Linked DNA regions of Astyanax mexicanus. The protein of the gene in region 1 interacts with the protein of each later gene in a biochemical or structural test. Links are inferred from orthologs where the notes say so. Each region holds a gene or a part of one and is shown in the gene's direction. Other genes may lie near its edges.

Region 1 (7,963 bases):
CCCATTTCTTCCCAAGTTGCTTATTGACGTCATCAGTTGTAAAAAGTGCTATATAAATTTGACTTGATTTCATTTTTTATTTATATGACTATTGTGTGTCTACAACAGCGTAAGTGTAAATATATAATAGTAGAGTAAGGTTTTATGAGTTAGTCTGTTAATCATGGATTGTAATGCCTTTCAATATAAGCAGTGTAAAAAAAACATGTTAAAATATGAAGAGTACACTGCTTATTAAAATGTGTTGCGTTTTATGAAGAAGAAAAAAAACTGTTAAAGTGGGATAAAAGTGGAAATTATGTGTGTTTAATAGCTTTTAGCTGACTATTTTAACCTAAAAGTATTGTTTGAAAAGCTGTCTCATTTTCGGTAATTTTACATAAAATGATTCTTATGCAGATATATCACTGCCAATGTCAAGTACAGTTTATAACTGCAAAGAAACTGTATAATGTATATTTATAATTCGCCAACTTCCTCTTCTTAAAACACAAAAAAACTTAAGACAATTGTTATGGCAATTTAAAAATTAGCATCGGATTAGATGTATAATTATTATAGAACAAAATGCAGACAAAAAAAATCAATAATTCATATATTCATATATTGCAATATGTTTTTTATTATTAAGGAGTAAACTTTATATTATAATAAAAAAGTACAAATCTTGCAAAGCTATCAAAATTGTCACATTTTATTTTGATTAGGTTCAATAAATCAGCTAGTAAGAAAATCACATTCTTACATAAGCCATTATCCTGAAGGGGTCGAATCAAATGATCTGATCATCTGAGGGTGTAGGAGATTTCACCACAAGTGGCCAGAATCATAAGAAGAACATTTTGACCAAAAGGTCAATCAGAATGATTAATAAATGTAAATGAAAACTTTGTAACTACAGTAAATATTGTAGACTATGTGTAACTACTTTGTACAACTCTCTGACCAGGAAACAAACAAATAAACCAAAATAATAATAATAAAACATTAAAATCTATCTATTACCAAGATCATGGTGCCAGATTTCTGGTTTTGAAAAGGAAAAGTAAACTATGTGTGGTGGGGGAGGACCAAAAAGACAAAGCAATTTCAATTACATTATTATACTATATTATTACACATTTGTTGGGTTATTAACCACAGCAACAACATTAAAACATTAAAAACACTCATTTCTAATATACAACTGTTACAATCCCAAAAGAGAATCAAGTTTAACCGCAGAATAAAACAATCTGAATAATTTACAGTCCTAATGAAAAGCTGATCATGAGCCTTTCAGAAATTTTAGAAATAAAAGCCAGAAAAAAGACAACTTTAACATTGTTTCAGTGTAAAATACTGTACACATAAAAAGTAAATATAATAATGGTAAATTGTAAAATATATAGTAAAATAAATTACAGGTAGACAATTTTACAGTGCATGACTTCTAATTCTTTATATTTGTTATTTGTTATAAATCAGATCCTCTCCTGTCTCCTGACTATGGGCTTTAAAGTAGATATCGTCATGTTTTCCTTCTTAGATGGCCATGGAGGGCTCCGGTCTGACGACTCCAGCAGATTACAGATGATGGACACAGTGAGTTCTTATCTTGTCTCTGCGTCTTTCTTTACGAACGACCGGCCTCCACACGTCAGAGAGATTTTACGTGACTTAAAGTCTGAAAAAAGTTAAAATAGATTAAATTAGTATAATTCTGGATTATACTTTACTAGAGACAACATGCTTTCTGCTGATTAAAAGTATCTGGATTGGAGCTGCCCTAGGTCTGGCCTTGAGCACTTTGACCAATGTTCAGCCTCACCCTTTTACAAGATAGTACCTCACAACTTATACAGGTGTAGGCCTTCCCAAACACAGTACCCAGCTAACAGTGAACATAAGAACATTTAGTAAGGTTCCAAGAAGGTTAGACTATAAAGTTCCAGAAATAAGGTTCCAGGAACATTATGAAAACATGTGACATAATAATAGTTTGCATCATTATTAGAACATTTATCCCATAGTGTTCTCAAATAGACAAATACTAACATTACAGAAATGTAAAAAAAAAAACAAACTATAAATTAATACATTGATACCAGTGACATTGCAGCAATGTTACCAGAATGCTTAATTTTTTTTAATTAAAAATCAAGAAAACTTGATAGAACATTCTAAAAACATTAACCCTTTCTGAGTCACAAAAACCTAAAACTTAAAAGTACATATGGTTATTGAAAAGAATATTTACAGAAGAGTCACTACATCACTACACACCTCCAAACTTCATGTAGCTTCAGATTAGATCAACAACAGTAGAGAACAGTAGCGAGACTCATGTAATGGAGAGTTTCCATGTCCGAACAGCTCCATCCAAGCCTACAGGTGCAGGTGAGCAATTTTTTTTTTTTTTATTGCAATATAGTGTATATAAATGCAAAAAGGGAGGGGAATATATAAACAAATACGACAGGTTGTTAATACACATTAATATTTGTGGTACTAACCTGCTAAAAATGCACTATTAAATTAAGTACATAATATATACTGTAATTTATAGTAGTGTTTAGTATGCAATTGGGACAGTGTTTTATGACTCATTAAACAGAAAGGGAAAATGGATATATATCCAAGGGTATATATATATATATATGATACAGCTTCAAAATAAAGAAAACCAATCACAACATACCTTCTACTAAAATCCTCTTCTGAACAGTTTAAAGTTTACCTGCTTTTTAAACTCCCTCTGTAGACACATTTTAAGTAGAACCTGCTTTTGCTCGTTTTCTCCTGTTCCCATACAAACATTGTCTGTGGAGTTTGACCATATTTGGACAGCTATTTTTTAAGATTCTCTCTGAGGACTGTTTGTACCTTAAAATAGCTTTTTTTGATTACTGAGTTGTAATCAAGGCCCATGTACTGAGGGCTCATTATTTACACAGATATTGTTTTAATCTCCTTTTATACCTTTTATACTGCATTAGTTGGAAATGATTCTTTATTCTCACAGCAGTGAGAGCTAACAAAGCTACAGTACTGTCTCCACGGGACAGGGTGAGTTTAAATATAGTGTTACAATTTGTAGTGTTACAATGTTTTACACAGCCTACTTATTTAATTAAATAATTTTAGTACGGTTCATAGAGGGGTTGTTTAAACCAGGCAACATAAAATAGTAATTGAATATTAATTAATTGAATAGACACATTCTGTACCACCTTAACATATTACAGTGGACCATTAATGTTGGGTAAGTAAACTTAAACAAAGGTAACAGTGCAAACAGTGTAATTAGTAAATGAGTGACACACGTTTTTACAAGCATATTTACCATCCTGTGTTTCTCTACTGTTTGTTCTTTTATGGTGGGCTCATGGGCCCACTGATTGTAACAGAATTGCCCCATTAGACTGGAGCACTACTGCTTCAGTCTAAAGTGTTCTTCCAGAACTGCGTCATGCAATCATATTTGTGTAAAATTCTGTAATAATTTTCTGTTATATTACTCTACCCCCTAAGTCCACATGCTTCACATAATTTCAGATGCCACCATATCTCTCAGCTTGTCCAGAAATGCATGCATAGAACTGTCCATGAAGGAAATGCACTCCAAGCATGATTGGTACCTATCAATTACTTTAGTATACATGAACACTGTAGTTCCATTTCCTTTTGTTCTATAGAAACAAAACACTTTCCACCACGTTGACAAATTGCAATCAACCCCTGCTTATTTGGTTGACCTGCCCCCTTTTCCTAGGCCAAGCACCTCTCAGACCACCATTATCATTACGCTTCCAGTGTAAAAACAGGATTTTTCCACTGCAGACGCATTTATGCGAAAGATAAGTAATGCGTCAAGGGTAAAAGTGTGGTTTATACATTGCACTACAACTCCAGCTACTCCATGTAATCAAGAGAATAGGTGCAATGCAGGTCTAATATATAATACTAAATTATTAATATTTGAAGAAAGCAACTTTCTCTTAAAAGCATTACTTGTGAGTCGGTTAAAGCAATGTATTTCAGAATGCAAATGAAATGGGCAAATGAAGCTGGGCTACTCATTATTTCATTATCAACTTTTCACTACAGTGTTTTTCAATTTGTAATTTATTGTATTTTTGCTCAGACTTTTTTATGGCTTTTTGCTCAATCAACATGGTAAAAATATTGATTAAAACTTTCTTAAGTTGTGTATCCCAAAGGGTTAACAAAACAGGCTTGGTCAATGTCAATTAGAAGATCAACAAGAGAAAACAAAAAAGGATAAATACTGTACCTTATAGTGGTGTATAGTAGTGTTTAGTATGCAATTGGAACACAGCCCTTACTTTTTATGGCTTTTCGCTCAATCAACGTGGTAAAAATGTTGATTAAAACTTTTCAAGTTTGATTTTTACAATGTGTGTATTGTTTAGTTTGCATTTGGAACACAGCCTTTAGTTTTTATTTATTTTTTGCTTAATGAACATGGTAAAACAAATGTATTAAAACTTACTTACTTACAGTGTATGTATTGTTCAGCCCAAGGGGTTAACCTATCTCTGGGGATTTCTCTCTAGTGCAGAATTAATACTAATACTAAAGTAATACATTAACATTTGGGGTGCTAACCAGTCAAAACCGCACTATTAAGATTAGTATATATTATATACTGCACCTTATAGTAGTGTTTAGCATGCAATTGGAACACAGCCCTACCTTTTAATGTGTTTTTGCTTAATCAACGAGGTTAAAATATTGATTAAAACTTTTTTAAGTTGGATTTTTTTACAGTGCATGTATTGTTTAGCCTAAGGGGTTAACAGAACAGGCTTGGTTAAATCTCAATTAGGAGATCAACCAGAGAGAGAGAGAGAGGGAGAGATAGAGAGAGAGAGAGAGAGAGAGAGAGAGAGAGAGAGAGAGAGAGAGAGAGAGAGAGAGAGAGAGGGGGTTGGAGTCTATCTCTGGGCATCTCTCTCCACCCCTATCTCTTTACGGGACTGCCAGCCCGTGCTGTGGTATTCCAGGAATGCGTGGTGAACATGGCGGCCGCGCTGAAGGCTCCCAAAAGCGGGCTGCTGGAGCTGCGCGTGGCGGTGGAGCGCTGGAGCCGCGTCCTGGCGGCTCTGACCGGGGACGCGCTCACCGTGAGCCCCGCCGAGGCCAACGAGGAGCCGGCTAAGAGCAAAGCCCCAGCCCCGGCGCCTCTGAACGGGGAACCGAGCAGCCTGTGCTGCCCCTCTGTCCCAGAACACATCAGCAGCGTCAAGCGCACAGTGAGGGTCACCAAGCAGGACGTCGGGGGACTCGGAATCAGCATTAAAGGTAAGATCTCTCAAAAGAAAAACTCAGCTAGACTATTACCAATGTCTCAGAATATCACTAAACGATGCGGTGAAGAAGTTGAGCAAACCAAAATGTGGCGCAACTATGAAGAAACTATTTTAAACATTGAAACACTGTTTTTTGTTTGCGAAAGTAAAGAAGTAGCAGCTTGTTAAAGGGCAATAAGTGTGAAAGGAAGGTCAGAAGGACTATATTTACATTTTAAAACAGATTTAGGCTTCAACTGAAACAGATATTAATAGATATAACTTTGTCCAGTATGTGTAGCTCCCCATAGAAAAGCTATAGCAGCAAATGAAGTCGGTAAATCAGTCCAATCCAGGATTTATGGTTGTTTATAATGACAGCTTTTAGTATGTATTCTTAACAGTCACACACTTTTTGAAAGAAATCTAGAGACACTTCTTGTACATTTTTTAGAAATGTTAGATTTTTTTTTAAAACAACTTACCGTGTTTTCCATACTTAAAGGAGAACTCCGGTGTAAAATGGACTTTTGGTGTAGTAAAACATGATAAAAAGTACTTACCTTTGATGAATGAGATCCAGACATTTTAACAGTTTGTCCAAACACCCTTCAGACTGGGTGACACAGGGCAAAAATTTCCCCGATAAGAAATCGATTTTTCCACCGTTATCCAGCTCAAAGTAGTTCCACGCCTCCTTGCTAGAATTCAGAGAGCCCTGTCATTTAAAACGAGGCATTAATAACTTTAAAAAGTTCACAAGAAGCTTATTAAAAAACACTGTTTACATCCTTTAATGCTAGCTTCAGCTCCAAGCACGCCATCACTGAACTGAAAATAACATAGACATATATATACTTAGATTTCGCATATTGTAGCAGCGTGGCAGACAGGCTGTGCGGAATCTATGTATATATATATATGTCTATGTGATGGCGGCATTCGAAGCTGAAGCAAGCGTTATAGGATATAAACGGTGGTTTTTAATAAGCTTCTTGTGCACTTTTTAAGTTATTAATGCCTCATTTTAAATGTCAGGGTTTTCCGGATTCTAGCAAGGAGGGGTGGAAAAAGCGATTTATAGGGGGAAAATTATGCCAAATGTCACCCTGTCTGAAGGGAGTTTGGACAAACGGTTACAATTTCTGGATCTCTGAACGCTGCGGAAGAACGGAGGTGTGTTGTTCATCAAATGTAAGTACTTTTTATCATGTTTTACTACACTTAAAGTCAATAGTTCTCCTTTAACTCTACTTCTTTCTAAAAAGGTATGTACAGTTGTAGCTTAGACAAAATCATTCAAAATCAAGTAGACTAGAGTGAAATTTCTAACTTTTAAGATAAAACTTGGTGGTAATGACAGGGACCAGGGGTTGCGATATTATAATCAATCCAATAAAAAAAAAGCCAATTTTATTGACCGAACAAAACCACCAGCTGCTTTATAAAATCTACAAATCAATGAATTCCAGTTGGAAACTATTGGGGGTAAAAAAACTAAAAACTACAAACTGAAGACTATAAGCTTTTTATTAGGCCTCATTATACCTGCCATGAATTCTCCACAGACTAAAAGTTAAAATTGAAATATGTTTTAGGACAAACATAAATTTGATCTAAAACCTGTTGCTAAACAGTGTCTCAGGCATGTTGCACTGTATTCACAACCATTAAATGCAAAACATTGTGAAAGGGAAATTTTTTTATTAGAGTCTATTATTAAGTCTGGTTTCTGTCACCAGAGCTATGAACATTTAAGTTGCTTCTCAACTGGCATTTCACACCAAACCATTCTAAACGACTTTGTTTAAAAATTAACGACTTGTTACCTCCTTTAACTGAGAACAAAAACTTAGTAGAACTTAGTAAGGTCTTCTTCCAACTAACTAGAACAACCTTATCTAATAGGTCTTAGTCTAATGTGTTATTAATAAAGCAATATACACTTAACCATGCATCAAAATGAACCACAGGACAAATACAATACGTTAAAACTGTGTGCAGTTCATGTTTGCAGTTGACTGCCCTTTGCAAAAGGATTGCTCTCACATGGAAAGGTCATCCGTAGAGCTTTACCAGTGTTACTCTGCTAGTAGATGTTTGTGGATCAGTAGGGCTTAGCTCACAGATTCTAGACCATAGCTCACAGATTTACACTGACACCTGGAATGCATGTTGATACTACCTAAAAACGAGTAGCAAGGACAAACGCTGAGTCAATAGCAGTAGATGTTTGGTAAGAATACAGAATTTTATGAAAACATTTGTGTATATATTTTTGTGTGTCTTTGGCCGACCTGTCCTGTTAAACCGCTGGATGGCCCTAGCAACCATGCTGCAGCCTGATTTCAACTTTTTCGCATTCTTATTATAACCTAGGCCATCTTTATTTTAGAGCTCCAATTCTTTTTCAGTTCCTCATAGTTGAGAAAGAGAGAGTTCTTTGCCATGAGGTGCCATGTTGAACTTCCAGTGACCAGTATGAGAGAGTGTGAGAGCGAGAACACCAAATTTAACACACCTGCTCCCCATTCACACCTGACAACTTGTAACACTAGTGAGTCACATGACACTGGGAAGGGAGTTTGTATGTAAGGATGTACTCACTTTGGTTGCAACTAGTTTATACATTCATTTACACTGTTATAGGAGCTGTACTCCAACTACTT
Region 2 (7,997 bases), on another chromosome or scaffold:
GTAAAAGCGGCAAGAGTGCGCAGTTGTAGCAAAACGTGCACGCGCACGCTCTGAATAAGAAAGGAAAAACACAGAAAGATGCTCCAAGTTTAATTTAGACTTGAAGAAAGTAGATAAAATAATATAATAAAAGAGAACATACAATATAAAATATTTTATTATTAATATTATTAAATATAGATTTAAGACACAATACATCAGACCGTTAAAATCCTGAAAAAGAAAAAAAAGCTCTGTGTATATTTTCCAAAATAACCCTGTAAACATAGCATGTAATATGTAGAGAAGTATAGACATGCAATATAGAAATAATAATCAAACGTTGCTTTGAGTCTAAATCTTAGGGCAGTATCTGCTCATTCTCACACCATCTCAAAAAAACTGTCAGACTTACCAGACTGTTAAAATCCTGAAGATAAATATTATATTTTATAATATCCCTGTGATAATAGCATTCAATATAAAATAGGTCAAATTGCACTTTGAGTCTAATCACAAGGCATTATCTTATTAGCTTTAAGTAGTCTTAAAACAAACTGACTGTAAAGACATAAAGACAGGGTGGTTGTCTCCCCTGTAATACAAAGCTCTAAACAAAACAAACAAATTTCTCCTATCAAACATATTGCTTCAGCCTAAAGCACTCTCCAACACGAGGGGAAATCTCAAACAGAAGGAACAAAGAAGTACTAGTAAAACATCTAAAACTAAAGCACAATAGCAAAACATATCAGAGCACAAACCGCCTTACCTTCAACCTGCTGGCTTTAAACGATAGATTTCTACCCAGTTACTCTAGCCTGGACTCTAGTTGCTGATTGGTCGCTAATTGACGATGATTGCTACCAGATGGTGTTTGTGGGCTGCTTTACCTGGAGGAGAAAGAAAGAAACGCACAAAAACACAGTCCACTTAAAAATCGTTTTATAAAGCCTTGAAAAAACTACACGACTTTTTAAGTCTGAGCAAATAATAAACAGACTGGGAATCTCAAACCTGTGGGGAATGAAAAAAAAAACTTCTCACACTAAACAACTAGATAATTTTGTGAAAGTCGACTAGTATTATTCTGTCGTTTTCATAAACAGTCTCATTGATACCCAATACAAAAAATAGTGCAAAACCCAATACTTAAAGAAAAAAATTTGAATGTATTTTTTTTTTAGAAGTTCTGTAATTTGCATTACAAAACCTTTTTTTTAATGGGAGATTTTATGGTAATGTACAATATTACCCAGTAAGCTAGTGTGGATTAACCTCTTTACAGTGAATACAACTAGAAATATAATGTATATACTATCCTGAACATATGTGCAAATAAAAAATAAATTTATTATAAATGTATATGATATCAAAAACAAAGTATATCAAAAAAATAAACTCAGAAAATATTCAAAATGTACAGTCAGATTCACTATTGTGCAATCATCATCATTACATATACACTAACGGTTTGGGTATTGGCTTGGGTAGACTTTACAAGTGTTGCTTCCTATTACCACCACTGTAAATAAGCCATTATTAAATAATCTGTTTTCGAAAATGCATCATCATGGGTTTTTTTTGTTGAAAAGTTGGTGGAATTCCCCTTTAAGCATCGAAAGTAAGCAGGCTGCAGGGTGGGGTCAGCATCTACTATAAAGTGGCCACCAGATGACGATATTACCCCACTTTCCAAAGTAAAAAACCTGGTACTTTCCGGCTTCATGATTACTGACATCACATAATGTCATAAATGCATCAGTGAAAGCAGATTGTGGCATAATTATCCAGAGGTGCATAAAACTCAATAAAGTTAATTATTGCATTATCTGTACTGCTGTAGACTTCTAATACATTTTACTCTTTTGGTATAGTGTTATGTTTTTTGTTTTGTTTTTTGAGTCAAGGGTTTATAAAAATGCTCTGCTGCATATAAATGTAAAATGTACTGTTTGATTTTATTATTTTTATTTTATAGTAAAGATAAATTCTAAATATTGATTGTAAGGTTAGCCTAATCGACAGGGATCAATCCTTGTTGTGGACTGTATATTGCTTTCAGTGGAAAATTTCTATTCAGAATGCTGGGATGTACAAGACTAGGCTCAATCCCTCTCTAGTAAACAGCACCATAAGGTTTAAAGCAGAGAAAGTTCTTCAACACAATAAAATGTTCCTCACAAAAATAGTTTTTCTATGACATTACTTAAATAACTCTTTGAAGTAGACGTATTTTAAGGGAGTATAAGTACAAAAGCAGTGGGTCATTACATGATCACATCAGATGAGGTCTTTTCTACTGTGGGGTACCCAGAGAGGGGGACCTGTTAAGGCACATTTTTGGGCACATCATTTTTTTGCAATAGGGGCACCCTAGCGGACATAGCCATTTTCCCCATTTGAAGGACATTCTATAGGGCAGTTTGTGTAATTCGTGCCACTCTGCCTGACACAAAGGCCCAATCCCCTTTCTCTGTTGTAACCCTTCCCCTTTGAACAGAGTTATAAGCGGAAGGGGTGAAATCCTCTGCCTAAGAATTGGGACAACCCTTCAAGGTTTTGACACTTGACTGCTTCATTACCAGAGGAGGCTTGTAGGTGACCTTGCCAGCCTGATGTAATAGCTAGCTGCTAGTTAATTAGTAAACTTTAGGGCATTGTATGTCTCTAGAATGGGGGGCAGGTGGTGCAGCAATTAATTATTATTGTCCATTCTTCAATTCCACTGTGATGGGGAGCAGACATTAGCTTTAATGTTTCTGTTATAACTTAAATGCTGTATTCTTTTGCACCAATTAATGAGGAAATATTAGCTAGCTAGCTAGCTACTGAGAACTACTAACAATTTTGTATTGCTTGTTCTAAATGAAGTGGCCATAAAACATTAAAAATAAACATTAAATGGGGTAATATAGTGAATATTTTTAAGAAGGAAAATACTTAAGATTTTACCAACAGACTAAGGAACAGCTCCAAACCATCATTCTGTGAGGATGCTCAACTCTCTCCCTGCTTTAGCCCCATCCCTAATTTGCCCCCAGCACACATTCACTCAGCATACTGACCTTAAGCTTTTTTACCACTATATTGCACTAATGTTTATACAGGTTCTGTTTACAATGGTACTGTCATTCCCACTTAATCCCCCTATCACTATTGCACTATTGTCTTGTGTCTCTTGTCTCACGTATGTTGATATCTGTGACCTTGTTGTATTGTACATTTAATGTCTCTCATTCTTTTGTATGTATATTTTTATCTTGCTGTACTTGTAACTTTGGGAAGGAGAGTAATGTAATTCCAAGCCTATGTATGTTCTGTACATATACAGTATTGACAATAAAACTACTTGACTTGACTTGTATAGTTTTTTTTGGTCACTTGTGCTGCCATCTTGCCAGTGATTCTCGGTCCTCTATTTTGAGTGTCTAAAAAAAAATCTCTGTCTGAAGGACCAGAGGGGTAGGGCTGGGGGTGAAATGGGATTGGGCCAAAGACGACTTTTCACAGTGAACAAACAATTTTCGTTTGGAGTAAACCACGTATTCCAATAGATAAATTGTAGCCTTCTTTATGTAGTTTGTAATTATGTAAGCTAACAACACAGGCGATAATACCCTTCGGTGAGGTTCTTTATTAATGACTGTGTGTCTGCTCCAGTGAATTCTCACCCTGAAACTCCTCCACGACCCCGGAGGGTTCGTCTGGTAAACACAGACTGCATGGCTGTCCAGTTCAGTGAGAGCTCCTGACAATCAAGTTCAGAGGCTCATAATAAAAAAAACTGTACATTAAATGTTAAGTTCTTTAGGCTATTCACAGTATACTAGTTATATTTTCATAATGTGGTGTCAAATTCAACAGACTATTTGATAATCTGGAGTTCGGGCAACTGGAAATACCCAGAACAGGCAATGTATTCTCAGTGTAATATGCCCTAAATGCCAAACTCGTTTTGCTCGGCTCAACCCTGCTCTCTACTGGCGAATAATTGGTACTTCGACTTTTTAAGGTGGACCGGAAAATCCGAATAAGACACTGGCGAATAAGACGCCAACTTCAGCCTCGTTGACAATCACTGGGCTGGGGTTCAGTCGTCCCGTAAAAGGAGCTGAACTCCCTCATTGTACGCTGCGGTTGTCTGTCATGTGGGGCTCTCCGCGCTGCGGGACCGGGGAGCTGAAGCAGGCCTAGTTCAGCGCTCCTCTGTGCTGCAGAGAGCTCAGACCTGCCCGAAGCTCGCTGGAGGAGAATATCAGCTGTTTTGAGATACTAATGAGTGAGGTGGAAAATCTAGGTTTAGAAAGGCTTGGGATGGGATTAGTTTTTACTTTCTGGACCACCTCAAATTAATTAGCTATGATTTAGATAGTCTCACTAGGTTACATAAACAACGTAGTTACTTGTTAGAGCTGCGCTGTTAGCTTCTTCCACTGTTTTTTTATTGTCATGCCACAGATTTGTTTCGTTAGTTTACATGTAACGTAGTTAGCTAGGTTAGCTAACATACAACTTTGTACAGAAGGAAATGTTGGTGTTTAACTATCTATGGCATGAGTTATATCTTTCATGAGGATTTTTTTTTTAAATATACATTTGTATTTCAACTTTTTATAATAAACTGAATCAAACATATTGTTTGACATGCAGGAGAGTGTACCTGCTTAATGTTGCAACAACCCTGTACCATTGAGGGTTAATGAGACGCTGACATTTTTAAATAAACATGTTTAAAAAAGGTTAAAAAAAGAATGCTACATAAATAAAACAGTATTTTTCTAACCGGCATCTTTAGATAGTTCCCCTAGCAAGTTAACCTGACGCCCACAACCCTCTGAACACTTTGCAACCCTGAGTTTCTGTTGAACGCGACCCGAGCTCGCATAGGCGTTAACCTGCCGGCTGTCAAACTCGCTCCATTCTCCATTGCGATTGGAGCAACAGAGCTGTCAGTTGGATTTCGAGCGCGCTGATTGGATAAATCCTTTTGGGAGGGCGGGGCTAAGCGCTGGGTCGCTAAGGAGGCGCTGCTGTAGCGGAGAGGGCGGATCATCGCGGGGCTAACGACAGCACAGACACAGCCCGAGAAAGTGTCAAAAACAGTGAACTAAACGGTGAGTGCGACCAAATTACACTGTTTAGTGAACGAGCTTCACTGGGGGTTTGAGGCGAGCTGTTGTTTAATTTCTGAAGTTTGTTTTGGACGGGACGTAGAATTATAAGTAGTTAGCCAGTGAGTTAGCAGGCTAGTGTTAGCTAGCGGGCGAGTCAGCTAGCAGTAAGCTGGTGCAGGACTCAATGAGCGGAGAGTGACACGGCCCGAAAGATATGGCTGTCCGTGAAGTTATGCAAGACTTTGATTTTTCTGTGCAGAGCAGTTCCAGCAGGACAGTGACACGCAGACCACCCTCCCGTGTGTGATCTTATCTTCTCAGTAATCCTCAGCTGTAGTGGAAGTGGGCTGTCACACTCGCTCTGCTGCCTGCTGATGTTTTCAGCACCAAAAGTTTAGTAAAGTTAAGGCCAGCTAGGTTAGCCTGCAGCAGCACTCAGCACGGGGATTTGGAGAAGCACAGAGATCTAGCAGTTAGCTATAGGTGAGTCTCTGCACGCGCTCAGCTACAGAAGCACATTCCCGCCACTTAAAATATATAAAAAAATAAACTGTTAGGTGAATTGCTTAGTAACGATGACGTTATCTCATTATTTTGAGATACAAATGCATTATTTTGGGATACTTGATATTTTGAGGCACTAATACATTATTTTGCGGTAATAAGTAATTTTTCGAGACACTAAGATATTTTTGAGTTAATAAGTCAATACCTTGAGACACTAAATCATAATTTTGAGTTACTAAGTAATTATTTTGTAATAGTAAGTAATTATTTTGAGGTACTAAGTAATTTTGTGATACAAAGTTGTTATTTTAAGATAGTAGGTCATCATTTTTATGTACTAAGTCGTTATTTTGGGATGCTGTCTCATTGTTTTGAGATACCAAATCATTATTTTGAGATAGTAAGTCACAACTGATTTTGAGCTACTCATTTTAAGGTACTGAGTCATTATTTTGTGATAGTAAGTAATTATTTTGATATACTTAGGCGTTATTTATAGATGTTCGTTGCTTTTGGGATAAAAAAATCTGTTTAATTCTTTCTGCAGAGAAGCCTTTACGTAGCTTATGTACAAGCAACTATTACCTCTAAATAATGTCATAGTATCTAATAATAATATTTAATACTTTTTTTTAAGCCTGTTGTCGTGAGCAGGGATTCCTTCATTTTGCTGCTTATATTTCAGCCCATATTACTATAATTGTGCCTTAAGTTGCGCTAAAATACAGATGTTGGTGAATTGCGTCTTTCATCAGACATCAATCTCTTTGCTGGCCAGCAGGATTACAGATCAGTGCTGTCACGCTCCAGCCTCTGAGCCTGGTTGGATGGGAGTATTCAGAGAGAAATGTGCGTTCTTGAGCTTTAATATGTGAGGGTAGGTTGTTTGTAATATGTTGTGTCCAGGAATAGGTAAGACAAGATAATGAACGCTTTCTTTTAATTTGTGTATTAGGTTCAAATTCTTGTAATACCCAATGATACACAATATAGCAGCAAGCGAGCAGCAGCTCAGCAGCACAGTCATTGCAACATACAGGAATACAGCCAAAAATCTTGCCCAAAGTGCAGGGAGCAAATAAATTGAGCAATTTCATTAAGGTATGAAGTGAAAAGAATACTTATGGAGAAAATTATGAAGTTGGCTTAGGAAAACTGAGATATGATTCTCCTGTTTAGCTCAGAAACACCATTTGTATAACTAATTTATTTACAAATAGGCCAACAACTCAGACATACATTGCTAGTTTCAGAATTTAGCTAATATAGAGTTTTAGCTGATTTAGAGTTTGTTTTGCTGTGGAGTGAACTGCTGCTGGTTTGTGTAAAGTAAGGGTTTATTTAATTGATTGTTCAGTAAAAAGCAACATACTTTACTAAAGATTAGATTCTGTGTCTCTTTTTTTATACTGTGTGCAGGTCAGCATTTAGACTTTATGTTTATAGCTTTATAAGTAGTAACATAGAGAAGTAAGATCAACCCACACTTATCAATGACAGTGAAAAGTAAATCACAGTTAATGAAAATGATTGTGAAAGGAAGGAAACTGAAAGAAGTATGCATTTTTGTTTAAAAGATTAGCATGATTAACATTTAACAAAATATATAGTCTTGGTGTTTTTTCTGCAGTGAAACTGTACTTTTTGTTTATCCTAGCATTGAAAGCTTTTTTTTCCCTCAAGGACCCAACAGTAGCAGTTTAGCATATGCAGGTAACCCACAACCCTGTGATCACTAACCCAGCACACTAAGCACTGAGCTGTATTTGTAACTGGTTCTCAGTAATAACATTGTGTCTATGTTCATATCACACTAATAGAGACTGCAGCGATATGAGTATTTTGGAAAGACGCCCATTGTCACTGCTGTTATTGGTTTTAGATAAGATGGCTAAATAATTTCAGATAGTTACCTTGGGTAAGGTAAAGGTTTACAATAATTTGTATGTGTGTGAAAATAATCAGTGTTTAATCTTTAGTCACGTTTTTGCAGTTTAGGCAAAAACATGCACATAAAATATATGTGGTGTAGTTGTTAGTTTATTTGAATGACTTTGAGTGACTATTGCGAACCCCATAACTCTGAGACAAACAAAATTAAGGCGTGGCTACACAAACAAGTGTAATTTAAACATATTTTTTTTAACCAGAAAGATTTTAATAAATTGTTAATGACATCAGTATTAGTCACAAATATGTGTTGCATCCTTGAAATCCCATATAGGTCCATTTGTAGACAAAATATTACAATAATGACTTTTGTCCTTCTGTTTTAGTAAATGACAGTAAAGACAGATAGCTTTGTCACTGTATAACCTGGGGAATAACCAGGAAAAATCAATAAGGAAGACTAACAAGAGAAGGACACTTCAGATCAATGATTGAAGGGCATAC
Region 3 (7,723 bases), on another chromosome or scaffold:
AAACAGAAACCCAACATAAAAATAGGTTGGCATCATCTGAAGCTTTGCTCCACTGCCTGTACTTAAGGTTTAGAAGACATGAATGGAAACAAGCCCATTAAGAAAGAAAGAAGAGGGGAAAGGGGGACAACACTGGTATGGAGGCAATATATCTCCACAAATAAAACTAAGTAATGCCAGGCATTTCTCTTTAAAATTATTGTAATTATTTTTAATTGTTCTAATATTTGTCTTAGAATGAAATTCTCTAATTCAAAAGGCATATACAACCTTTGAGTTCTAATCATCTGTGTCTGATGTGCTGCACCTAACTCTAATTTTAGGTATTTTAAGACTTTAGTGCAGACAAATACACATGTACTAACTTTGCATTTCTATTTATATTGGATACATTATTTAGTTTAGCTATATTAACTCACTCTCTCAATATTGTTCAAATAATCAAAATGTTTATATGGTTAAATATGTTAAATTTGGGTGTTCCAAACCACAAATTACACTTTATAGTAGTCTAGTGGAAAAAACTTGACTCCAGTGACACACACACTACTCAGGGTACAAACAAGGCTTGTGGTGTATTACAGGCCTATATATAGCGAAGCTCTATCTGCTTAGTACACTCCTCTCTCTCTCTCTCTCTCTCTCTCTCTCTCTGTGTGTGTGTGTGTGTGTGTGTGTGTGTGGCAACTTTCCCTCTTCTCAAACCCTGATATCGGACCCATAGTATTTCAATCTGAAACAGTCTTTGCAAACAATTACGGACATTACTTCATTCAATTTATTGGATTACCTATATTTGAAGGGCTATCACACACAAGCACTGTCCTTTAATAAGCAAAACATACCTCATCATTGACAGTAACGTAAAGCGCCTCATTAGCAGCACTGCCAAACACGCAGGCCTGGCGGATGAGTCGCAGTTCCTCAGGAGGCAGAAGTGCAAACACTGGCCACTTTCCCACGTCTAGCATGCTACTCTGCAACAAACAGGATAAACAGACACAAACATTTTTTCCTCAAGCAAGGAGAACAGGATGTACGGCCATTGGACCCTGGTCTAAAACAGTTTTGGACGTTCAAGCCGTTTGAACACTTGACTTAACTGCTTGAGACTTTTCGAACTGCAACTTTATACACAAGCCACAAAATATTACATAACTCAAGCAAAAGGCTTTGGGGCAGGTTAACCAATAACAAAAGAAGAAAGTGGGCTCTGAATGCTCCAGCGAGCTGCCACTATGATCAAGAGATTGCTGGTTCGAATCCTGTTCATGTAGCTCGCCATCTATAGAGCACAATTGCTCTATAGAGCACAATTGGCCTTGCTCTCTCTGAGTGGGTAGATGGCGTTCTCTCCCCACATCACTCTTACAGAGAAGTTGATAAGCACAATGCATCTGTGAGCTGATGTATCGAAACCGAGTGATGCTACTGGGCAATGCTGCATCAGTGCTAGTTTTCACCCTCCTGGTGTTGGGGCATTACTAGTGATAGGGGGAGTCCTAATGTCCTAATGAGTGGGTTGGGTAATTGGCCGTGTTGAGGAGAAAATTTAAGAAAAAATAAATAAATAAAAGAAATAAAATGAAAAATAAATAAATAAATAAAATAAAACAAAACAAGAAAGTGTTTTTTGCTCTCTTACACTTACAGTTAACTGTTTTAGTCTTGTTTAACCACCAAAATGAGAATAAAGCAATAGAACAGTAATTAGCTAAATATTTTTCCTTGATTTTTTAGGGGTAATATTGTGCACCAGGAGGTGCAAATACCTGCACAGCTCTGTGACTTTCCTGCTCAAAACACATATCTTTCTGCTCACCTGTTAGCTAACTGTCAGGTTTCTGAAGTTTGTGCAGGATTATGAAGTTTGTTACAGTAGGGGAATCAGCAAAATGTGCTGGCCTCTGCTTTTGGTAAAATGACTGTACCCCTGTGCTGCAGTACCCAAGTGTACTGCAGCATTGGCCACGTTCACAGTATTAAAGGGTACGAAAATCCATTTGATAACGTGCATTTAAGCAACAAAACGAGTTAAAGGGAACATTTATGGGTAGGATACCGAATTGTTTTAATATGGGTTGGTGTGATTTTAGTCTATTATTTGTCCCCAGGCTGTCAAACTATTATTTATATTAAGCCAACTTTGAATGTGACTAACAGCTGACTGACGAGAATAAAGTGGGCTACAAAAACTAAGCTATTATTTTTCGTACATCCCAAAACTAGCTAACTAACTAACTAATAAAGCTAACTAGCTATCTGTTATATAAGTTAGGTAGACATAGTTACGTATATGATTGGCTAACGTTACACCATGTAGTTACACAAAACAGGGATAATATGGGCAGAAACGCAGTTTAAAATCAAAGCTGGCGGTACTGTATCGCTGTAGTAACGATTTACCTGCAGATTTTACTGAGGCTCTATAAACAGCCAAGCTAGCTAGCTAGCTAGATAGATGGGAAGCTAGCTTAGCTTGCTAAATTGAGAAATGCCGTATAGTTAAAGCACCTAATATTAATACGAGCTATTATTATCACGATATATAACTGTTAGCTAACTATATTGCTAGTTATTGTACACATATCAGCCCAATCTGTTAAAAACACAGATATATCTAAAGCTCAAGTACTTGGATAAGTTAGCTAGCTAGCTAACCTAGCTAACATACTGCTAACTTCGCTAGCTGGCTATAGCCGGCTTGTTTTGAAGCTACACAGGAGGCTCGACAGAAACTCAACAAGCTAGCTAGCGTTGCTAACCAGCCAACACATAATTAAAAAAGTTAACGTCAACATACCTCGTGTTATAAAATGAACGCCGGCGCTTTCAGCCACAGGGTGCTTTAATGTATTTGTTCAGGTTCGTTTCCATTCACAAATCCAGGCTCGTTCAAAGGAAAGTGGTCCGATAATTCCAGGGAGTTTTCAGCAGCTAGCCGGCTGCTGTCATTCTCCTGCCCGCTGAATCAGTCCTTCATTTCACAGCGGATGATGAGAGGAGAGGCATGTTTTTCACACAGCTGACATCATGCAGGAGACGCTCTGCTCGCTTCTGGAGATGTTCGTTAGCTAGTTAGCTAGCTAAAGTTCAACTAAAGAGTAAAACCAGCTTAGGACTCACTGAGAACTGTGCTTCTATCAGAGGAGCCCCATTCACATCACTAAAGCAGTAGCCTTGTCTTCTTAACAGGTCTCTGTGCCAATTGTAAATAATTAGTTTGGTGTCACTTTAACACTTCATGTTTTTCCTTCCATAAACACCCTACTCGGATGGTCGAGGGTACTACTTTTGTTTCTCAATTGATGTCAAGAAAACCTGTAAATGAAAAAAAATTAAAGTCTCCATATACTGTGTTTAAATATATACATTTAATGAACACTTTATTATACTTGTCCATACTCATCATAGGGATGCGGAGAACCCCACCCAGATTAAAATCTCTTCCACTAGGTTATACAGCTTCAGTTCAGTTCATATTCAAGTTTTAAGATTTCAGAAATCAATATTTGGTGGAATAACCCTGTTTTCATGCATCTTGGCATGTTCTCCTCCACCAGTCTTACACACTACTTTTGGATAATTTATGCCACGCCTGGTGCAAAAAATCCAAGCAGTTCAGCTTGGTTTGATGGCTTGTGATCATTCATCTTCCTCTTGATTATATTCCAGAGGTTTTCAATTTGGTAAAATCAAAGAAACTCATCTTTAAGGGGTCTCTTATTTTTTTCCAGATCTGTAATAGCACTGACAGTTGACTGTGGAATATGTTACGTCAAGTGCTGCATCCTATCAGGGTACCACGTGGAAATTCCCTGACTCCTGAGAGCAACCCATTCTTTCACTAATGTTTGTTGAAGCAGTCTGCATGCCTAGATGCTTGGTTTTGTACACCTGTACAGGTGTGGCCATGGAAGTATCTGGAACCTGAGCTCAATGATTAGCACAATGATTCGAGTTAAAACGTTTGGCATGGTATGTGAATGACTATAGGTGTGGTCTGACCACATACTCAATTGGCCAGAAGGAAACTAAAATAGTCCTTTCTCTGTTGGCTCGCAAAAAGACTCTCAGACATTTGGGTAGTGTACCTCCTGGTGAGAGATTATTGACTGCTAGGCAGTGATGCCTCAACAGTGCACTCAATTGTAATTCTGTATTTTACACAGTAGACAGACTTAAAGAGGGGCCTTTTACAAATTCACAATTGAAAAACTCTTTAAGCCAGTCATCATTACTTATTTGCAGTGGTGTCATGAACAAAGTACTTAAACTCCTACAGAACCATATCATCTTTGCAAATTTATCCAAATTCTGTGTGGGATTTGATGACGATCAGGTTTGAGCATGGAGGCCTTGTGCTTCAACGCTGCTTTGGAGCGACACACTGCACCATTGCATGGTGGTGTGATAATCTGAGGTGCTTTTGCATACAATGGTCGGACACCCCTAGAAGTAATACAAGGTGGGACACTAACAGCTCAGTGATATGTGCAGGACAGAGGTGGATCCAGACGCACCCGCAAGTTCCATATTGCAGGACAAACTAACTGTTAAAATTAAACAATGCAGATTATTAGAGGAAAAGAAATAGATGTTAGCTGTTTTGTCCTTATACTGCAGCCTTCCAGCAGAGGCACTGTGTTGGTTTCACTTTTTAGAGATATTGTGCTTTCTATGTTTTCTACAGTCATTGGAGGGAACACCTACCCAAAGAAAGCGAGGCCAAGATTTTATTTATTTATTTTTTTACTAAAATGATTCAAACCTTTGTGGCTTTACTAAATTCACATATCTTGAAAGTCAGACATTTTCTAAATATTTTGTTCTTAAATTGCAACAAAATATGTTCCCACATCTTATTTAGGTCATTTCTTTGGTTTTCTAATGAAATCCAAATATGCCTTTGTGGTTCTCTTGAATAGAAAGTCTTTTGTCCCAGAAAAGGCAGGATGCCAAATGTCAGAGCTCATTATATTTGATTTTTTTGGGGGGTGCTGAAAGTGTTTATTCTCAAATTAAGCATTTTAAGCAGTTTATCATTTATTACTGTGTTTTTTTCCTTGGACTTCTTTATTGTTTCCGTTCTCATGGTTCAGTTATCAATGTTGCAGTGTTTCGCTAATATCTTATTTAAATAGCTTATTTAAGAAAATGCTAAAGGTGCAAACAGATTTCAAAATAGTACTATTTAAATCCTGGACACATTATTCATGTTTATTGTTGGGGAATACTTTTGCAACACATTTATGTGTGTCTGCGTTTCATCCACCTCCGTAGAATTTCAGTGGAAGTCAAAACATTCTCATGTATGGTCACAGGTTTTGGACCAAGATCAGCACTTGTGAAAGTTTTCTGGAAAAGAAAATGGTGGGGTGGGGGGCTCATGTATACACTTTCAGTCTTACAGCATTAAGCTGTGAAAAAGATAAGCAGCATTCTTAAACAAGCAGGAACATGTGTGATTGAAGCACCTTTTATAGGCAAAGGGTTTAACTTGGCATCAGGTATGATTTTTTGTTAACTCTTTCTGAGGCATGGTGATCATTTCTGCAGACAGGACTATCCAGAGAGCTATGAGTATGCACTACATGTACATGAAACTGATGTTTACATGATTACAGATTTCTTTTATCAATAAGTGCAATCAGTCAGTCTGTAGATTGACAGTAATCCTGTAAGAAATTGATAGTGGTTTCGGAGCAGTGCAGTTCATGGGGTGGAGCTGCAACAGAGCCTCAGCCAACCACACTGAGAGAGAAGAAGCTGCTTGTGGTTCTTTTCCCAGTACTGTTCTTCAGTGAAAGTGTCAGTCGGATCCTCACAGATCTAAATGTGAGCATCAGTCTTTAGCAGACCTTAGAAGGTAAGTTTTTATTCTATTGTTGCTGTTTTTACTTTAATTTTGTAAATATCTCACATTTCTACATGAACATTACAATATACCACAGGACTAATATTATACCATAATAACGTATAATATTGTCACTGTCACAGAAAAAAATGTGCCAATTGAAATAGAAATGCTTCAAATTGACTTAATAAAATTAAATCCTTTACATTAACTTTTATTAAATGTTAAGAAGGATTTTTCTTTTCCGATGAAATTGCAGTTTTGGAGAAACAGCAATGATATATGGTATGATATGTAATATAAAATATTCACATTATTATTTACAAGTAGAAATTGCTGTATGTCTTTTTGTTATCCTTCTAGTTTCAAGTTCAATATCTCAGGTGGGTGTATTTCTATATATTTGCTTTGTATTATTTGTAAGTGCTTTGTATTATGTGCCTTATTTCATTGGTCTTTGACAATGAGAGAACAAGTCCATTACAATGGGTATACATCCATTTTTTTAATTGGAAACTTGTTGGCCTCACTTTTTCTAAACAAATTAAATATTCAACCCTCCATCCATTGATATAATATAAAATATCCACATTATTATTTACAAGTAGATATTACTGTATTTCATTTTGTTAACCTTCTAGTTTGAAGTTCATTAACACTTACAGGTTTAATTTTTAATATATATTATTCTATTTTATTACATTGGATTCTTCTCTATTAAAAGAAATCATTAATTCAAAGGTTTTGTTTTAGTGTTTTGAGGACAACAACAAAATCACAACTTTTGCATACCCCTCAGCATCAGTGTGTACCCACAGGACACCTTCTCCTATATGTGCATTAGAAATCTATGTAGTGTGTTGTGTTGTACTTTATTTGTGTAATATCTTATTGTGCTTAGTATGGTCCATATATATATATATATTTGTCATTTTATCATCCCTCATTCCTCCCATTCGCTCCCTTTTTGGTCTTTTTGTCCAAGCCCATGCCTTATAATTTAATTTTCCTCACAGCAAACTAACTGCATGCACTGCTTTAGGGCTGTTTATCATTTGTATATCCTTTGTTCTCCCATTCAGCTGCACAACCATTATGCATTCCTTTTAGTGTATGCACTTTTTAGTTTCTAGTATCTTTATTACTGTATATCGTCACCTGACATTTGTTTTAGATATTTGTCTCAGCTTGTTTCTAATATAATCTTATATACCTGATTTATTTTTACAGGACTTTTACCAGACCAAAGATCTACGATGACTAAGCCGTGTCTGAACTTCACGGTTACTGTTGAATGCAACTGCTCAGTCGGTGCCTTCAAGCGCAGTGTCTACCCAGCTGCCTACCTATCTATCTTCCTCCTGGGACTGACTGCCAACCTCGTCTCACTATGTTTCTTCATCGGAGTGAGGAGGACGATGAAGTCCTTCAGCCCGGTTAACCTCTTCATGCTAAACCTCCTGATTTCTGACCTGATGTTGGTGTGTTCACTGCCCTTTCGAGCGGTCTACTATCTCATGAACTCCCATTGGATCTTTGGAGATGTTGTTTGTCGCTTCATGGGTTTCGTGTTCTACATCAACCTGTATGGGAGCGTTTATTTTCTAATGGTGCTCAGCATAGTTCGCTTTGTGGCAATTATTAAACCATACACCTATATGTACCTACAGAATAGTCGAGGAGCTGTGGTGGTATGCGTCTTCGTGTGGCTGTTTGTGTCTTTGGCCTCGATCCCTCTTTTAGATGCCGGGACAAGTCAGGATGCATCTGGCCATATCAAATGTCTGGAGCTAGACCCTTCTTTGGTGAAAACCATTATCACTCTGAACAAAGGCGCTTTGGGCATGGGCTTTGTCTTGCCCTTTA
Region 4 (7,638 bases), on another chromosome or scaffold:
TAAGACCGACTGACATAATTTTTTTTGGCGTAAAAAATCGAAAACGTAGTGGAAAACTCTCTCAGTACTCCATACTTTCGTGAGTGAAAACAAGAAAGCAAGAGTGAGCGAGTGTGTGTAATCAAATGAGTTTAATTTGAGGCGAATGTGAGTGAGTGTAAGTGAGTGAAAGTATGGATGAGAAAGCAAATGAAAATACTGCTGTTTCCACTGCCATGTCCAGTTTTCTCTTTGAGATTCTTAGCTGGAGCTTGAAGTCTGCATCTGAGACATCGTCCAGATCCTCAGGACTACTACTGTGTCACACACACACACACACACACACACACACAAACAAACACAAATTACGTTTACTTGCAGGGACATTTCAGTATCATGATCAAATCTAAGCTGATCAGTAAATTATTTCAAGTCTAAAATTAAGTGTCATCCTCTTGATTAATTAGTAACCATAGATTTTTTTTAGAAATATCAGTTAAGAATTGTTTTAATGTTACTGGTGTGGGTATTGTTCTTTCATACTAAATGGAATAGGAACAATTTATATTTAACAGGATTAACATGACACTAAAGACTTGAGGAAAGAGTTAAATTCCAGATCTGAGATGTATTTCTATTAAGATTAATGCAGCACCTCAGTGACATAAAGCTAAGTAAACATGGTGTATTTCACCAGTGTTGTTCTTCTCTTGATGTAGAATATGGCGTTTAAAAAGTGGATCAGTGCCCCAATGTTGTGTGTGTTGGCTGTGAGTTGTCCTGTCAAAGAGAGATGTACATGTTCATAAACATCCCAACAAATAATAAAACAAAACATCAGGGAGGTGTGATGAGTACAGGTTGGTAAATTTAAAGATTTACTAAAATTATAATTCAAGTTTTCTATTAAATTTTTTCTTCATACCTCACATATCACCCACATTTGATATCATAATATCAAAATATATGCGTACATGTTCCCAGAGGCTTTAAACACCAGTTTACCTGTCCCGGTCAGACTCTTCATACTTCATGCTCTTCCCTTTATTCACAAAAACCTGCTGGAAAACAGAGAGGGTAACAGCTTTACCTCTCATATCAAAGGACTTTTAAAATTGTTTAATTCTACTGAAAAAAGGTAAAACACATTAAATCACTAGCTGTACTATTGTACAATTCTGTAGGAATAAGCTGTACTATTGTAAAATACTGTAGAAATAAGCTGTACTATTGTAAAATACTGTAGGAATAAGCTGTACTATTGTAAAATACTGTAGAAATAAGCTGTACTATTGTACAATTCTGTAGGAATAAGCTGTACTATTGTAAAATACTGTAGGAATAAGCTGTACTATTGTACAATTCTGTAGGAATAAGCTGTACTATTGTACAATTCTGTAGGAATAAGCTGTACTACTGTAAAATACTGTAGGAATAAGCTGTACTATTGTAAAATACTGTAGAAATAAGCTGTACTATTGTAAAATACTGTAGAAATAAGCTGTACTATTGTAAAATACTGTAGAAATAAGCTGTACTATTGTACAATTCTGTAGGAATAAGCTGTACTATTGTAAAATACTGTAGGAATAAGCTGTACTATTGTAAAATACTGTAGAAATAAGCTGTACTATTGTACAATTCTGTAGGAATAAGCTGTACTATTGTAAAATACTGTAGAAATAAGCTGTACTATTGTACAATTCTGTAGGAATAAGCTGTACTGTTGTACAATTCTGTAGAAATAAGCTGTACTATTGTAAAATACTGTAGGAATAAGCTGTACTATTGTAAAATACTGTAGAAATAAGCTGTACTATTGTACAATTCTGTAGGAATAAGCTGTACTATTGTAAAATACTGTAGAAATAAGCTGTACTATTGTAAAATACTGTAGGAATAAGCTGTACTATTGTACAATTCTGTAGGAATAAGCTGTACTATTGTACAATTCTGTAGGAATAAGCTGTACTATTGTACAATTCTGTAGGAATAAGCTGTACTATTGTACAATTCTGTAGGAATAAGCTGTAATATTGTACAATTCTGTAGGAATAAGCTGTACTATTGTAAAATACTGTAGGAATAAGCTGTACTATTGTAAAATACTGTAGGAATAAGCTGTACTATTGTAAAATACTGTAGGAATAAGCTGTACTATTGTAAAATACTGTAGGAATAAGCTGTACTATTGTAAAATACTGTAGGAATAAGCTGTACTATTGTAAAATACTGTAGGAATAAGCTGTACTATTGTAAAACGCTAGTTAAAGTTTTAGAACTAGAAAAGGACTCTAGCAGCAGCTAATTAGCAGATTAGCATTAGCACGGTCGAGTTTAGTGGCTCTGAGCGGGGAATTTACCTCAGAAATTGTGAGATGAGCGGTTCTACAGTTTCAGGAGCGCTGAGGAACCCGGTTCTCCTTTGCAGCAGAACTTTTCCCCGGTTCTGGTTCTAGCTCAGTTTGAAAGAGATCTCTTGGTTCCGAACGGCTAAATTTAGGCGCGCTTTTAAGCGAGTTCTGATTGGACAAAACGGCGCAGCAAACGCTAGAAAACAATTGGTCAATAACAGCGTCCAGTAAACGCTGATGGATTGTTTTGTGGTTTCTACCCAGCAACACAACCAGAGAAAAAGCTACGAGCCCGCTGTTTTTAATTGGATGTTCAGCAGTAATCCTCATCTTCTTCATTATAGTAAATGGGTTATATCATATATCATTGTTAAAATACTGACTAAATAACATATTTGCTAAAAATCACGTTTAGAAGCAGTGACTCATGAGAGTAGGGAAGCGCTTTAATGTCTGTTTGACCATATTCATAAAAACTAAACAAAAAAAATATCTACAACATAAGAATTATACAATTTAAACATTAATGCAAATACAATAAATGAATATATATAAATGGTAAGATGTACAGTGTGAAAGAAAGAGAATAAGATAGGAACTAAGGATTAAAATTTAAATACGCAACAGTGTTTTTACGATGCTGTAAAATAATCAGGAGGTAGTGTATGGTTTAATAAATATTAATATAAATGGTTATATAAATATTTAACATAAACACAAATTAATGTGATGAGAAAAATAAACTAGACTAAGTTATTGGAAATGTATGTTAGTTTTATGAGTGTGATTAATTGCTTTCTAAAATAAAGCATTCCTGGATTTATTGTGTTGGAAAATGGTGTGTTTTAAGCACAATTTAAACAGAATTAGTTCACATATTTCTCAATATTTTGAGATACTATTTAAATATTTTGAGATACCATATTAATATTTTGAGATACTAAGTCAATATTTTGAGATACTATAAAAAATCCTGAAGAAGAAAAAATATTACTGTGGATTTTTTACATAATGACCCTGTGAACATAGCATGTAATATAATATAATGAATGGTGAAATAGCACTTTACACCTAATTCCAAGACCTTTATCTCTTCAGACTTAAGTCGTCTCACAAAAATGACTGACGCACCTAATACTCAATACGTCAGACTGTCAGTGTGAGGTACTGTTTATTAGTGTGAGGTACTGGGTATTAGGTGTGTCAGTCATTTTTGTGAGACGACTTAAGACTGAAGAGATAATGGTCTTGGAATTAGGCGAAAAGTGTTATTTTACCATTATTTTTAATATTAATTAATTTATATTATATTACAGGCTGTGCTCACAGGATCATTGTGAAAAAAATCAGTAATATTTGACCTTCTTCAGGATTTTGACAGTCTTATGTATTGTGTAATAGGTATGATAGTTTTCTAGACGACTTAAGACTGAAGAGATAATGACCTGGGAATTAGGCCAAAAGTGAAAGCAATAACATTTTAATTCATATCATCTAATTTTATTTACATTATATTTCACTCAGAGTTAATCTCTGTCCCTCGCATTGTGTTCTCTCCTTTATTCAGAGCGTTTGCATAGCGCTTTGCTTACATGCTGTTATTTACTGTTAAAATGCGCCATCTACAGGCGGCCGTATGTATGTTCAGCCAGCATTTAAGATGGAACGGAAATCTGAAGTAGACACTGGCGAATAAGAAGCTATAGATAGTATCTCAAAAATATTGACTTAGTATCTTAAAATATTGACTTAGTATCTCAAAATATTGACTTAGTATCTTAAAATATTGACTTAGTATCTTAAAATATTGATTTAGTATCTCAATATATAGAGATAGTGTCTCAAAATATTGAGATAGCAGTTTACTTAATAATAATAGTTTTTTTTGCTGGATTATTTTTATTTTTTAGGTGGCGGGAATGGGCTTCCATATTTAAGAGATATGATTGTTGATAAAAAAATACTCCTCGCTCCCTACATAGTGCACGACTTCTACAATCAAAAATGGAACTGCATTTAGTGCACTAGTTAAAAAAAAACATACGTAGGAAGCAAAGAGCCAATTGAGATTCACCCTGACATTTTTGGCGCCATTACAGTTCAGAACGTGGTTGGTCGACAAGGTCACGCGGTGTGTTACGTATCTCTCAGTTTTCGCGCCACACATAATCCCCGCCCGTCTTTTCTAAGAATCTATCGCTGATTGGTGGAGTGTGTACGTATCCTTTTGCTCTCATTGGATGATACCTTCAGAACTCTTGTTGTGATTGGTCCGCAGCGCAGTTAGACTCCCGCCAGTTTTCGCAGACCGTGCTGTGTGGAGTGGAGCGTGCGCGGAGACACAGTGACGAAACTTTAACACTCGCGTTTCTAGATAATAACTCCTATAATCAATATTCTCCAAGGAATAAATCGATTTAGGATCGATTTAGGAGGCTGAACATCAAAAAGACCGATTGGAAATGGCACCGAAGGATTATTTAGCCGAGAAAGGTAAGAAACTGCAGGAACTCTGAGGATCTGAGAAAGAAAAATGGCGATCAGATTTTTAATCATGTACTGACAATTATTCTGTGTTAATACAACATAATGTTTTTAATTTCGAGTAAGACGCTTTTATCCGGTGGAAACATTTTATAGCGTTTTAGTCTAACGGACCGTTCCACCTTAAACGGTGCTCTAATTCTGTAGCTTTCTGTCGCTGCTAGCTGTGTAAGTCATGCAGCTTTTAAGGTGGAACTACTTGTACTACTTGAATTACTTAAGGTGGAGCGACTTGTAGCTTATTAGTAGCGGGAGTTTCGGGATGGTGTGTGTGTGTGTGTGTGTGTGTTGATCAGAGCGATTCCACTTATTTCTCCTTAGTGACTCACTATGATTAATAAATAGTGGTTGTCAGCTAGTTAGCTTAGCTGTGGTTAGCAGTGTTCATTGTTCGCAGGCTAACTTCCCGCCGCGCTTTAACTGCGCTATTAACCACACAGCTCCTGCTCCGCTGTTCATCACACTTCTATAAGCAGCAGCTGTAAAGTTAGTTCTGTTAATTTAGATCAAACCGTGTTTTAGACCAAAGACTAAAGTTTTTCCAGTAAAGTTTACAGAGCTGTGGACGAGCAGCAGTACCCGGATGCACGGATAAGTCAATGAGTCGGTTCGTCTGAGCCGAGCATATGAATGAACTTGACGCAACTACGCAATGTTTACGTCTCAGATCAACAGTAAATACCGAATTAAATCCAAACATAGAATTTATACACACAATTTAAGGTCGTTAATATCACACAGCTGCGAACTGAGGGTGAGATCTTTAAACCGAGGAGCAGCGGATTCCTCTTTTGAGTTTTTATAGTACGGTCAGCTGCTTCGAGTGAACTGGCAGGAGTCGACTCTGGGATGACTCGATCTGCGCTGGTTACCCGGATGCACCCGTAAAACAAAGAGCTGTGGCGCGCGGAGGAGCACGTGCAGTGAGAGTCTGCGAAACACGCACGCAGTTTGTTTACACACACAGACACACACAGAATATACGCGCAAGTAGTAAACATATTAATCGTTAATGTAAATGCGGAGTAGTGTTAAGGGATCTCTATATTATATTGGAATAAAATATCTGCGCGTTATTTTGCTTACTATATTTTGAACCTCATCGTTAGTTTTATAATTGAAATGTAAACAAGTAAACAGACTGGCGTGTCCTGAAGTGTAGATTAAGTCCTACTGTTCCTGTCTGAATGCGTGTGCTGGGGGAGGGTTGCTTCTGTGTTTATCCGGGCACTATTTGGAGCAGCGCGGAGGGGCACAGTATGTGAGAAGGCCGGGAGCCATGTGCTTCTTTGTTTACAAAAACAGCAGCGAGCGCGGAGCTCCGTCTGTCTCTACCCCGCTCTCTGCGCGCTTACAGCGGGGTTCCTGGGCAGCCCGGCGCGCGGAGAAGACCGCAGGATCCAGTCGCCGACACACCGCGGTTCGTATTCGGAGCGGGGCTGGGCTCGGAAAAAGGAGGGCGGCTGGGAATCCTAATGTATAAGAAAAGCTGTTCGGAAAGGAGCAGGGGTGGGGGTTAAAGATGGAGTTCCGAGCTTTAATAAAGAGGGTTGACACACAGGGTATATAAATATAAAAAATGCTGAAAACTCGAACTCTACGTTCCACCTTAAATTAGTCCAGCAGTTAGAGCAGCAGTGCGCCATAGGATCCAGCGTGAAAGTGCTGCACTAATTTAAGGTGGAGCTGACAGTTTCTGATAGTTCACCGATTTTTAAGGTTATTGGTTATTTATTAAGGTTACTGCGCGCGCGTGTGATGTACCTGTACACGGTTATTGTGACGCACTAAAGCTTCTAATAAGCAGTTGTGGTCCTCCTCCGCGTGGGGGAGGGTGCAAACCACGTGATCACTGTTTATCAATGGGAGCTTCTCCTTTGTCGTGTAGCACCTGCTCCCCTTCACTAAGTGTGAGACATTTTGGACACACTTATGTGGTTTAATCTGGTACGTGTGTGTGTGTGTGTGGGGGGGGGGGGGGGGCGGGGGGGGGGCTAAACATAAGTAAGGGTCAGTAATGGGTACAATCCGATCTGAATTACATTGGGCAGGTCTTTAGAATTGGCGTTCTAATAGTTTTTTTAATGTGTGTGTGTGTGTGTGTGTGTGTAGAGAAGTGCAAGCGCTTCCTGCAGGAGTTCTACTCTGAAGATGATTCTGGAAAGAAGGTGTTTAAATATGGAGCTCAACTGGTGAGTAATACCCACACACCCTCTGTCTTACCGACACTGAGCACTGTCACCTTTTTCTTCTCCAACTAAGTGTGTGTGTGTGTGTAGGTGGCCCTGGCACACAGGGAGCAGGTGGGCTTGGTGGTGGACCTGGATGACGTAGCAGAGGAAGATCCCGAGCTGGTGGAAAGTGTGTGTGAGAACACAAAACGGTACACAGTGCTGTTTGCAGATGCAGTCCATGAGCTTCTCCCAGAGTACCGGGAGCGAGAGGTACACACACACACACACACACACACACACACACACAGCATTCCACTCAGAGGTGTTTGAGCAGCTACTGAAAACTGGTGTGTTGCAGGTAGTGGCCAAAGATGCGCTGGACGTTTACATCGAGCACCGGCTGATGATGGAGACCAGGGGTCGTGACCCCGCCGACATGAGGGACCCCAGGAACCAGTACCCTGCTGAGCTCATGAGAAGATTGTGAGTGAACAGCATATTAATGCTTAAGGGCATAAAAATAAAAAAAGAACACAAATGACTCTCTCTCTCTCTCTCTCTCTCTCTCAGTGAGGTGTATTTCCGGC

What was found.
Region 2: the proteins of snta1 (region 1) and microtubule-associated protein 4 interact in a test that uses a peptide from one of them, tested with the Homo sapiens proteins (2 studies listed by BioGRID and IntAct). The link is inferred for Astyanax mexicanus from reciprocal best matches to the Homo sapiens genes SNTA1 and MAP4.
Region 3: the proteins of snta1 (region 1) and cysltr2b interact in a test that uses a peptide from one of them, tested with the Homo sapiens proteins (2 studies listed by IntAct, with this or other methods). The link is inferred for Astyanax mexicanus from reciprocal best matches to the Homo sapiens genes SNTA1 and CYSLTR2.
Region 4: the proteins of snta1 (region 1) and mcm7 interact in a test that uses a peptide from one of them, tested with the Homo sapiens proteins (2 studies listed by BioGRID and IntAct). The link is inferred for Astyanax mexicanus from reciprocal best matches to the Homo sapiens genes SNTA1 and MCM7.

The regions. Positions count from the first base shown.
Region 1 is NC_064412.1:8,278,240-8,286,202, forward strand, and holds the start of snta1 (alpha-1-syntrophin), read left to right. Parts: upstream 1-4,953; 5' UTR 4,954-5,024; coding exon 5,025-5,307; intron 5,308-7,963. UniProt on the Homo sapiens protein: Adapter protein that binds to and probably organizes the subcellular localization of a variety of membrane proteins. May link various receptors to the actin cytoskeleton and the extracellular matrix via the dystrophin glycoprotein complex.
Region 2 is NC_064413.1:25,210,737-25,218,733, reverse strand, and holds the start of microtubule-associated protein 4, read left to right. Parts: upstream 1-4,980; 5' UTR 4,981-5,096; intron 5,097-5,395; exon of another isoform or gene 5,396-5,579; intron 5,580-7,997. UniProt on the Homo sapiens protein: Non-neuronal microtubule-associated protein. Promotes microtubule assembly.
Region 3 is NC_064425.1:22,199,468-22,207,190, reverse strand, and holds the start of cysltr2b (cysteinyl leukotriene receptor 2), read left to right. Parts: upstream 1-4,714; 5' UTR 4,715-5,869; intron 5,870-7,087; 5' UTR 7,088-7,113; coding exon 7,114-7,723. Other genes in the region: rcbtb2 (RCC1 and BTB domain-containing protein 2), read right to left, coding at 846-971. UniProt on the Homo sapiens protein: Receptor for cysteinyl leukotrienes. The response is mediated via a G-protein that activates a phosphatidylinositol-calcium second messenger system.
Region 4 is NC_064426.1:61,528-69,165, forward strand, and holds the start of mcm7 (DNA replication licensing factor MCM7), read left to right. Parts: upstream 1-4,619; 5' UTR 4,620-4,795; coding exon 4,796-4,826; intron 4,827-6,193; exon of another isoform or gene 6,194-6,297; intron 6,298-6,989; coding exon 6,990-7,069; intron 7,070-7,156; coding exon 7,157-7,321; intron 7,322-7,409; coding exon 7,410-7,534; intron 7,535-7,621; coding exon 7,622-7,638. Other genes in the region: cohesin subunit SA-3, read right to left, coding at 200-296, 954-1,006. UniProt on the Homo sapiens protein: Acts as a component of the MCM2-7 complex (MCM complex) which is the replicative helicase essential for 'once per cell cycle' DNA replication initiation and elongation in eukaryotic cells.